Linked DNA regions of Pelodiscus sinensis. The protein of the gene in region 1 purifies or fractionates together with the protein of each later gene. This does not show direct contact. Links are inferred from orthologs where the notes say so. Each region holds a gene or a part of one and is shown on either strand. Other genes may lie near its edges.

Region 1 (3,746 bases):
TTGATTTGGGGAGGGGAGGGGGGGCAGAAACTTATTTACTGTAGCAGAGTGAAGATATGGCAATGCAGTGACAAGTAGCCATAAGTACTTCTCAGCCAGATAAGTAAATGTTGTTTCCAAGTTTATCCTATCCAATTTATTTCCCTATTTTTAAAGTAACTTTTCCATACAAGGCTTGGATGGGACTAGTCAACTACAAATTTGTATCTGTTAGCCTTTACGGTTGCTAATTTTACTATTTCTGCTGCTTTTAACACCACACACACAATGTACTCAATAAATTAAAGGGAAAAACTACAGCCGTAAATGTCTCTGCCCTTAGGAGCTATGAACCACTCTATGCTCTGGTGCTAAATTACTATATGAGGAATGTAATAGCATAATCTATTAACTGATATGCAAAAACTTATAGGTTAATGGTATTGACTATATACATTTCCTTCACCACCCTACCCCCTCCCCAGCCAGTACATTTTTAGTAGACTTACCCTGCTGCAGCTCTGCATTTAAATTATATTAGGAGCTGCACAGGCAGGCAGCCTGGCTCAGTCCTGGCTCCCACTGGGTCCTGGACCTACCCCCGCTATGGCTCTACATTTGAAGTGTACTAGGAGCCACATGGGCAGACAGTCAAGCTCAGTTTCGCCTCTTTACCAGAGTCAACAACACTGGGCAACAAGCAGCCAGTCCACAAGGGGAGCTTGGTTGTTCAGGAGTGAGGCCAGAGTGCATTGGCTACCAGCCCCACCCCCAGACACTATAGAATAGTCAACTAACCGATAAGAATTCATGGGGTTACTTGACTATTCAATTAACCAATATTTAACGTCCCTATACTATACCTTTCACTGCTCTCAGTGACTTCATTTACCCATCTCCTTCTAAAATCCACTGCTAGCAGGCCTGATATGTAGGAAGGCTCCCACATTACAATTAACATTACAGAAGGCATTTTCTGTCTTCTCTTTAATTTCAAGGAAATGTAAGATCTCTCTCAATTCCTTAAAATCGCCCACACTTTTGAGTTGCCTTTACAGCTTCATCAGCCTTAAAACTGTATTTATTAGAGATGAGCAATAGGAGTTACATAAGGACATGAGAGCTATACACCACCATGATGTTGGCATATCTCCACATCCTGATTCTGAAGCCTCCTTTTCCATCTGCAACTGCAATGTGCCTTGGTCCAAGAGAAGGAGGACAGACTGAAAAGAGTAGCTTTAACACTCGGGTTTTACAAGATGCCCTTCCCTTATGCATCATCATTTTAGGAAGCTATTTTCAAACCACAGAGGCCAAGTGAGCAAAGAAAGATTTCACATAGCCAAGGGAAAAATTATAAACATCTCGCTGATCCAAAACACTGAGTCTCCTGGAAATGTATTTGCTCTGCCCTTACAATTCACCTCTAAGGATGGGATCTGAAGTCCCCTCCCACGCTCGCCTATCAATGGGGTGGGGGGAGGTGATTCACACAGAGGCTCACTCCTCCAACCTGCAAGAACTCTCCCTTCACTGTATCCCCGGAAGTAAGAGGAGCTCCTACAGACGCCGCCCCCAGGCTCTTTGCAATGGGGGCCGGGAGGAAGACATTGAACTCGGCCCTTACGAGCTATGCCTCCGAGGAGGTCTGGAGACAAGGGAGCGGCCCGAGCGGGCGAGGGGAAGGGCCCGTCTCCGAGACGCCACCCGGCTCGCTCTCTCCGCACCCCCGATCAAGAGGCAGCAGCCGCCCCAGGGCGAGGACCGGGCGAGCCCCGGAAAAGGCGGGGGGAGGAGGAAGGAAAGTGGCAGCGCCTGAGGCCGAGCTCTTTGGGCCGGCCGGGCGGCCTCACGCATCGGACACCGGATCCTGCCCCCAGCCCGGCGCCTGGGGCCTATTTTCAGCCCTCGGACCGTACAAGGCGCGTCGGGAGCTGCCCCTGGGCCGGCCCCGCTGCCGGCAGACTCTGACTGACAGCGCCGGGAAAGGAAGAAGCTAAAAATACAAACGCCGCCGCCTGAGGCAGCGAGGCCCCATCCCGGTCGCTAAGCCCGCCGGGGGCTCCAGCTGCCCCGGCCCGCGGTACCTTCTCCTCATCCGAAAGCTGCTCCTCCAGGTCCGCCATCTTCCGCCCCGCCATGAACAGCCGCCGAGCAGGCTCCTCCCTCCGGCAGGAAAGGCGGGGCCCTCTCACGTGTCTCCCGGCGCCTTCCCCGCGCGGCTCGAGAGGGCGGGACCGCGGCTTGGCCAACGGCCATTGCACGTACGCGCGTGCGCGCAGCGAGGGGCGGGCAGAGCGGAGAGGGAGTCGCATTCGCCGGGGCTCGCGCAGCGCCCGCAGATTGAGGCGAGCTGGGTCCCCGGGGGAGGGTCAGAAACCAGGCGGGTAGATTTCGCGCGGGAGGGGGCGGTCAACGTGTTTCGCCTCAGCTCCCTTGTGCGTGAGCGGGGCCGGCGGTGATGACCCGGATACAGCCGATTTCCGGCCTCTCGCCATTGAGCATCCTCCCAGCACCGCTCCCTGTTGGTCTGTAATGGAAAAAACCAAGGACCAGTCCTGCAGCACCTCAGAGACTAGCACAAATGTAGATGGAATCATGAGCTTTCAAGGGCACAACCCGCTTCTGTAGCTGACTGTGATACATGTGAAGGGAAGCGCCACACTGGGTCAGATATAAGGGCTATACTGTATTTGAGCCCTGGGAGGACAGGTCAAATTGACAGATATCCCACATGGAGAAGCAATTGTTTTTACATTTATTCTTATTTAAATAACATGTTGACTGTCACACGCTTCCACCATCCATAGGCATGGGATTAATAGCACCTGCAGAGAAAATACAAAACTGTGCTCGAGGTTTCAAATATACCCTGACACAAACATTCAGTTGTTACAAGGGGTTAAGACCCAATAGGTGTGCCTCACCCCCACAGCAATGATGGCCCCTGTCTCCAGGTAATAGCCTCAGGACTTCACCGAGAAGTCTGTAGGAATGCCTAACATAATGAATGCTAGTGGGAAGGGGGTAGTTTTAGAAGGTAAAATAAAAAAAGAACAAGTTAAAAATCACCTAGAAAAGTTAGATGCCTGCAAGTCACCAGGGCCTGATGAAATGCATCCTAGAATACTCAAGGAGCTGATAGAGGAGGTATCTGAGCCTCCTGTTGTCATCTTTGGAAAATCATGGGAGACAGGAGAGATTCCAGAGGACTGGAAAAGGGCAAATATTGTGCCCATCTATAAAAAGGGAAATAAGAACAACCCAGGAAACTATAGACCAGTTAGTTTAACTTCTGTGCCAGGGAAGATAATGGAGCAAGTAATTAAGGAAATCATCTGTAAACACTTGGGCTACGTCTAGACTGGCATGATTTTCCAGAAATGCTTTTAACGGAAAAGTTTTCCGTTAAAAGCATTTTTGGAAAAGAGCGTCTAGATTGGCAACGGAAGCTTTTCTGCAAAAGCACTTTTTGCAGAAAAGCATCCATGGCCAATCTTGATGTGCTTTTCCGCAAAAAAGCCCCGATCACCATTTTCGCGATTGGGTTTTTTTGCGGAAAACAAATCTCAGCTGTCTACACTGGCACTTTTGCGCAAAACATTTGCCCGAACGGGAGCAGCATAGTATTTCCGCAAAAAGCACTGATTTCTTACAGTAGGAAGTCAGTGCTTTTGCGGAAATTCAAGCGGCCAGTGTAGACAGCTGGCAAGTTTTTCCGGAAATGGCTGATTTTCCAGAAAAGCTTGCCAGTCTAGACACAG
Region 2 (3,746 bases), on another chromosome or scaffold:
TCTTTAAAGATATACATCACCCCAGTTTCTTGAATGTCTCATCCAGAGAATGGTACCAATATTGCAATACCTTCTCTACTGCACTGCAGCAGCAGATACAGATATAAATCTAAATTCCAGTGTGGCACTTGAACTCAGAGGCAGGCGCTATCCACTGGTTAGCATGCGCTGACTCTCTGGGAGGGATGAGTGGTTATCTGGCTTTCTTACATTCAGCAATCCTTGCGACTCCCACCTTTCATAGTAAGATACTGCATTTTGAATATTGAGTGAGACATTCAACAGTGCCAAAGAATGTTAAGCACCCAACTTCCAGTGACTAGAGAGCTGGACCATGAAGTCACACAGGCACGTTTTGAAAGAGCCTTCTATGCCAAGCTTTACACAGGAATGAATTAAGCCTCCCAGCACCTTTGTGAGATATGTATTTATTTACTATCCTCTTTTGACAGATGAGAACAGTGAGTCAGCAGAAGAGCCAGAAATCTCCTGTCTCTCTCTATGCTTAAACCACTAGATTGGGCAGGTCCCTTTTTGTGCCTTAATTCCTCCTTCCTTTCATTTAATATGTAGATACCTTTCCAATGTATCTCTTTACTGTTTTATACCCCGGTAAGCACCAAAGGGACTGTTCCATCCATTTTTTATTTCAGCACATAGCCAGCTACTGATCTTCTGGATAACTAGCTTTTACTGGTGTCTTCAGCAAGAGAAACTGCAGGTAGCAGATTGTTATTGAGGCAAACCTGTTGGGAGAGATTATTTGCAAAGCAGTGAAGTGCTAAAAAACATATTTAACCTAATAGCTGAAGTATGAAATGTCCTTCTATCTGGATTTATAGGTAGTAACTAGTCCAGGAGGCGTTATAAACACGCATACAGGGAGCTCTAGGAAAAAGTGGCTCGCACAGAGCAGTTTGGCTCGGTGACAGCGGGGGGAGGATCATGCGCACAGACCGGGGAAGCGTCAGGAGCGGAGAGAGAGAGAGACAGCAGGCTTTGCAGTTTCTCTATTTCAGCAGGAGGAGGAAGGACCCTGGGAAGATTGTAGGGCGCCGCAGGCGAGAGAGAAGGAGGGATGGGAGAGAGATGGGGTAGCCGCTGGGGGCGGAGGAATGAGGGTGTGTGAGCTCAGGGGAAAGAAGAGGAGGACGTTGGAAAACAAACAGTCATTCGCCTCGGACCAAAGGAAAAGCGAGTGGATGGCTCGGGCTGCAAAACAACTTGGTGCTGCATCAGGCTGAGCCGGGGAGCGCGGCAGGGAAGGAGAAAGCTGCCAGCCTGCCACTAACGGATTTGCCTGCATGTGATTGAACCGAGCCAGCGCCGGAAAGAGACGGAGGAGGGTGGGGGCTGCGCGGAGGGGCGAGGGTGGGGGTCAAAGAGGAAAAGTGTGAGGCTCGTGGCTGGGGAGCGGCAGAAGTGATGAGAAGACAAGCGGCGCGGCTGGGGGAGGCTGCTCGTGCTGCCGCGCTGTGCCCGGAGGCTGGCTGCCGCTGCCATTCCTGTGGGTGGCCAGGATTAAAGAGCCTCAAGTGCCCCACACCCCCTCGGCTGCGGCTGCTTCCTCCTCTGCCTGGACCATGGAGACTTTAAATGGCACCAGCCCCAGTGAGCCCCTCAAGCAGCCGCAGCAGCAGAGCCAGCACCACCCCTACAGCGAGAAGAAGCGACTGAACCGAGCCCCTTCCCCAGCCAGGCCCTTCCTCAAGGATCTCCACGGCCGGGCATCCTCCGCCAAGCCCCCGCCGGTGCCTCCCAAATCCCCCAGCCTCTCGGGGAAGCCGCCGCAGCCGGGCCCCTCGCCCCAATCCGCCGGGCTCCTGGCCACCCAGAGCCGCCTCTCCAGGCGCAGCGGCTCGCAGGGCGCCAAGGCAGCGGCAGCCGCTGGGGCGGGCGGGCGAACGGGCAGCGCCAAAGCCGCCCTGTGGAGCAAGAAGGCGTCCCGGGCCCAGGAGCAGGGGGGCGGCAAGGCCGGGGCCAGGCAGGAGCCGGGCCACCCGCCCGGCAAAGGCAGGAAGGGGAAGAGAAGCGCCCCCTTGCCGCAGGGTGGCTCCCTGGCCCCGGCCGCCGCGCCCGGACTGGGCAGCGGCCATGCGGCTCCGGCCAGGCTCAGCCACACGGACAGCAGCTCCGACCTGTCCGACTGCCCCTCCGAACCGCTCTCCGACGAGCAGCGCCCGGCCCAGGCCGCCAGCAGCGACGCCGAGTCCGGCACCGGCTCCAGCGACCGGGAGCAGCCGCCGCCGTCTGCCCCGGGCCGAGCGGGCACGCCGCTGCCCGGCGCCAGCCAGCCTCCCCCGGAGAGCAGCGCCGCCGCGGCGCGGCCCGCCCCGCCCTGCAGCCCGCAGCCCGCCTCGCCCGCCCCCGGGGCCAGCCCAGGCAGCGCGGCGGGAGACGCGGCGAGCTGGGGGCGAGCCGCGGAGAGCGCGCCCGGCCCGGGGGCCATGCGGCTGGGCAGCCGCGCGCCCGCCCCCTGCCAGCGGGCCGAGGAGGAGGAGCTGCTGCGGGAGATCGAGGAGCTGCGCTCGGAAAATGACTATCTCAAGGTAGAGCCCGCCGGGGGGGAGGAGGGGCAGGGGTGGGATGGGTTGGCGGGAAGGCGCCTCCCCCTCCCCAGTGACTAGCGGTGGAGCAGGTGCACGTGGCTGGGTGGGGCTGGAGCTGGAGGGGGTAGGTGGCAATTGTTGGATGGGCATTTTCCTTCTGCAGGTCGGGGGGGGGGGGTGTGAGGGGTCTGGAAGAATGTTTACAGTGGGAGTGCTGTCCTCCACTGAGCTTAACTGTATATAATGGAAACCAGCAACACCCGCACCCAAGGCCCCGCAGCTGTGGTGGGGTGGATGGGCCAAGGGGAGTGTTCATTGAGCCTATGGAGATCAGTAGCTAAGCGCTTGGCAGTCAACTAGTTGGCAGTGCCGCAAAAACTGGCACTTAAGGATATACAGGGGCCCTGACTGCTCTGATCCTTTGTCTCCAGTACAGTTCTAAGCACTGCGGTAGGCTGGATAAAACTTTTGGAAGATGGGGGTGTGTGGATGGCTTTGTTTTGAGTCTTATAAAATCTAGTCTTCCATAAAAGGCCTGCTGGACAGGGAAATCTGCTGAAAGGAATCCAGTACATTTCTCCCAAGTCAGCCTGCTGCAACAGAAACCATAAGGAGTAGATTCTTTAATTCAGATGCAGTAATTGTGTTAGTCAAAATTCAGAAGCTATTTTTCTGAAATCTAACAGTATTTTTAAAGTCAGCATCTCTTGGAAGAAAATCACCCACCAAATCAAAATTCCGGTTTTACTTGTTATATTCACCAAAGCCTTTAAAATAACATGGAAACACAGAAGGGCTATGTCTACACTGCCAGCTTCTTGCAAGGAACTGTTTTGCGCAAGAGCTTGTCCACACTGCCATGTACTTTTGCGCAAGAAATGTTCTTTTGTGCAAGAGTGTCCATGGCAGTGTGGACGCTCTCTTGTGCAAGAAAGCTCTGATGATCATCTTAGCCAGAGGGGTTTCTTGCGCAAGAAACCCCAGTTGCCCGTCCACATTGCCTTTTGCGCAAGAGCTCTTGCACAAGAGGGCTTATTCCTCGTGGGGAGAGGAAGAACTCTTGCGCAAGAAGCCCTTTGTTCCGACACTTTAATGTAAATTTACTTGCGCAAGAACGCGCGTGCAATGTAGACGCTCTCCAAGTTTTTGTGCAAGAACAGCTGTTCTTGCGCAAGAAGCCTGCAGTGTAGACATAGC

Evidence for each region.
Region 2: the proteins of CAPZA2 (region 1) and MTCL1 purify together in Homo sapiens (affinity purification with mass spectrometry; 3 studies listed by BioGRID and IntAct, counting the BioPlex papers as one, with this or other methods). This does not show direct contact. The link is inferred for Pelodiscus sinensis from reciprocal best matches to the Homo sapiens genes CAPZA2 and MTCL1.

The regions. Positions count from the first base shown.
Region 1 is NC_134711.1:45,679,524-45,683,269, forward strand, and holds the start of CAPZA2 (F-actin-capping protein subunit alpha-2), read right to left. Parts: upstream 2,219-3,746; 5' UTR 2,124-2,218; coding exon 2,070-2,123; intron 1-2,069. UniProt on the Homo sapiens protein: F-actin-capping proteins bind in a Ca(2+)-independent manner to the fast growing ends of actin filaments (barbed end) thereby blocking the exchange of subunits at these ends.
Region 2 is NC_134712.1:84,715,913-84,719,658, forward strand, and holds the start of MTCL1 (microtubule cross-linking factor 1), read left to right. Parts: upstream 1-959; 5' UTR 960-1,583; coding exon 1,584-2,549; intron 2,550-3,746. UniProt on the Homo sapiens protein: Microtubule-associated factor involved in the late phase of epithelial polarization and microtubule dynamics regulation.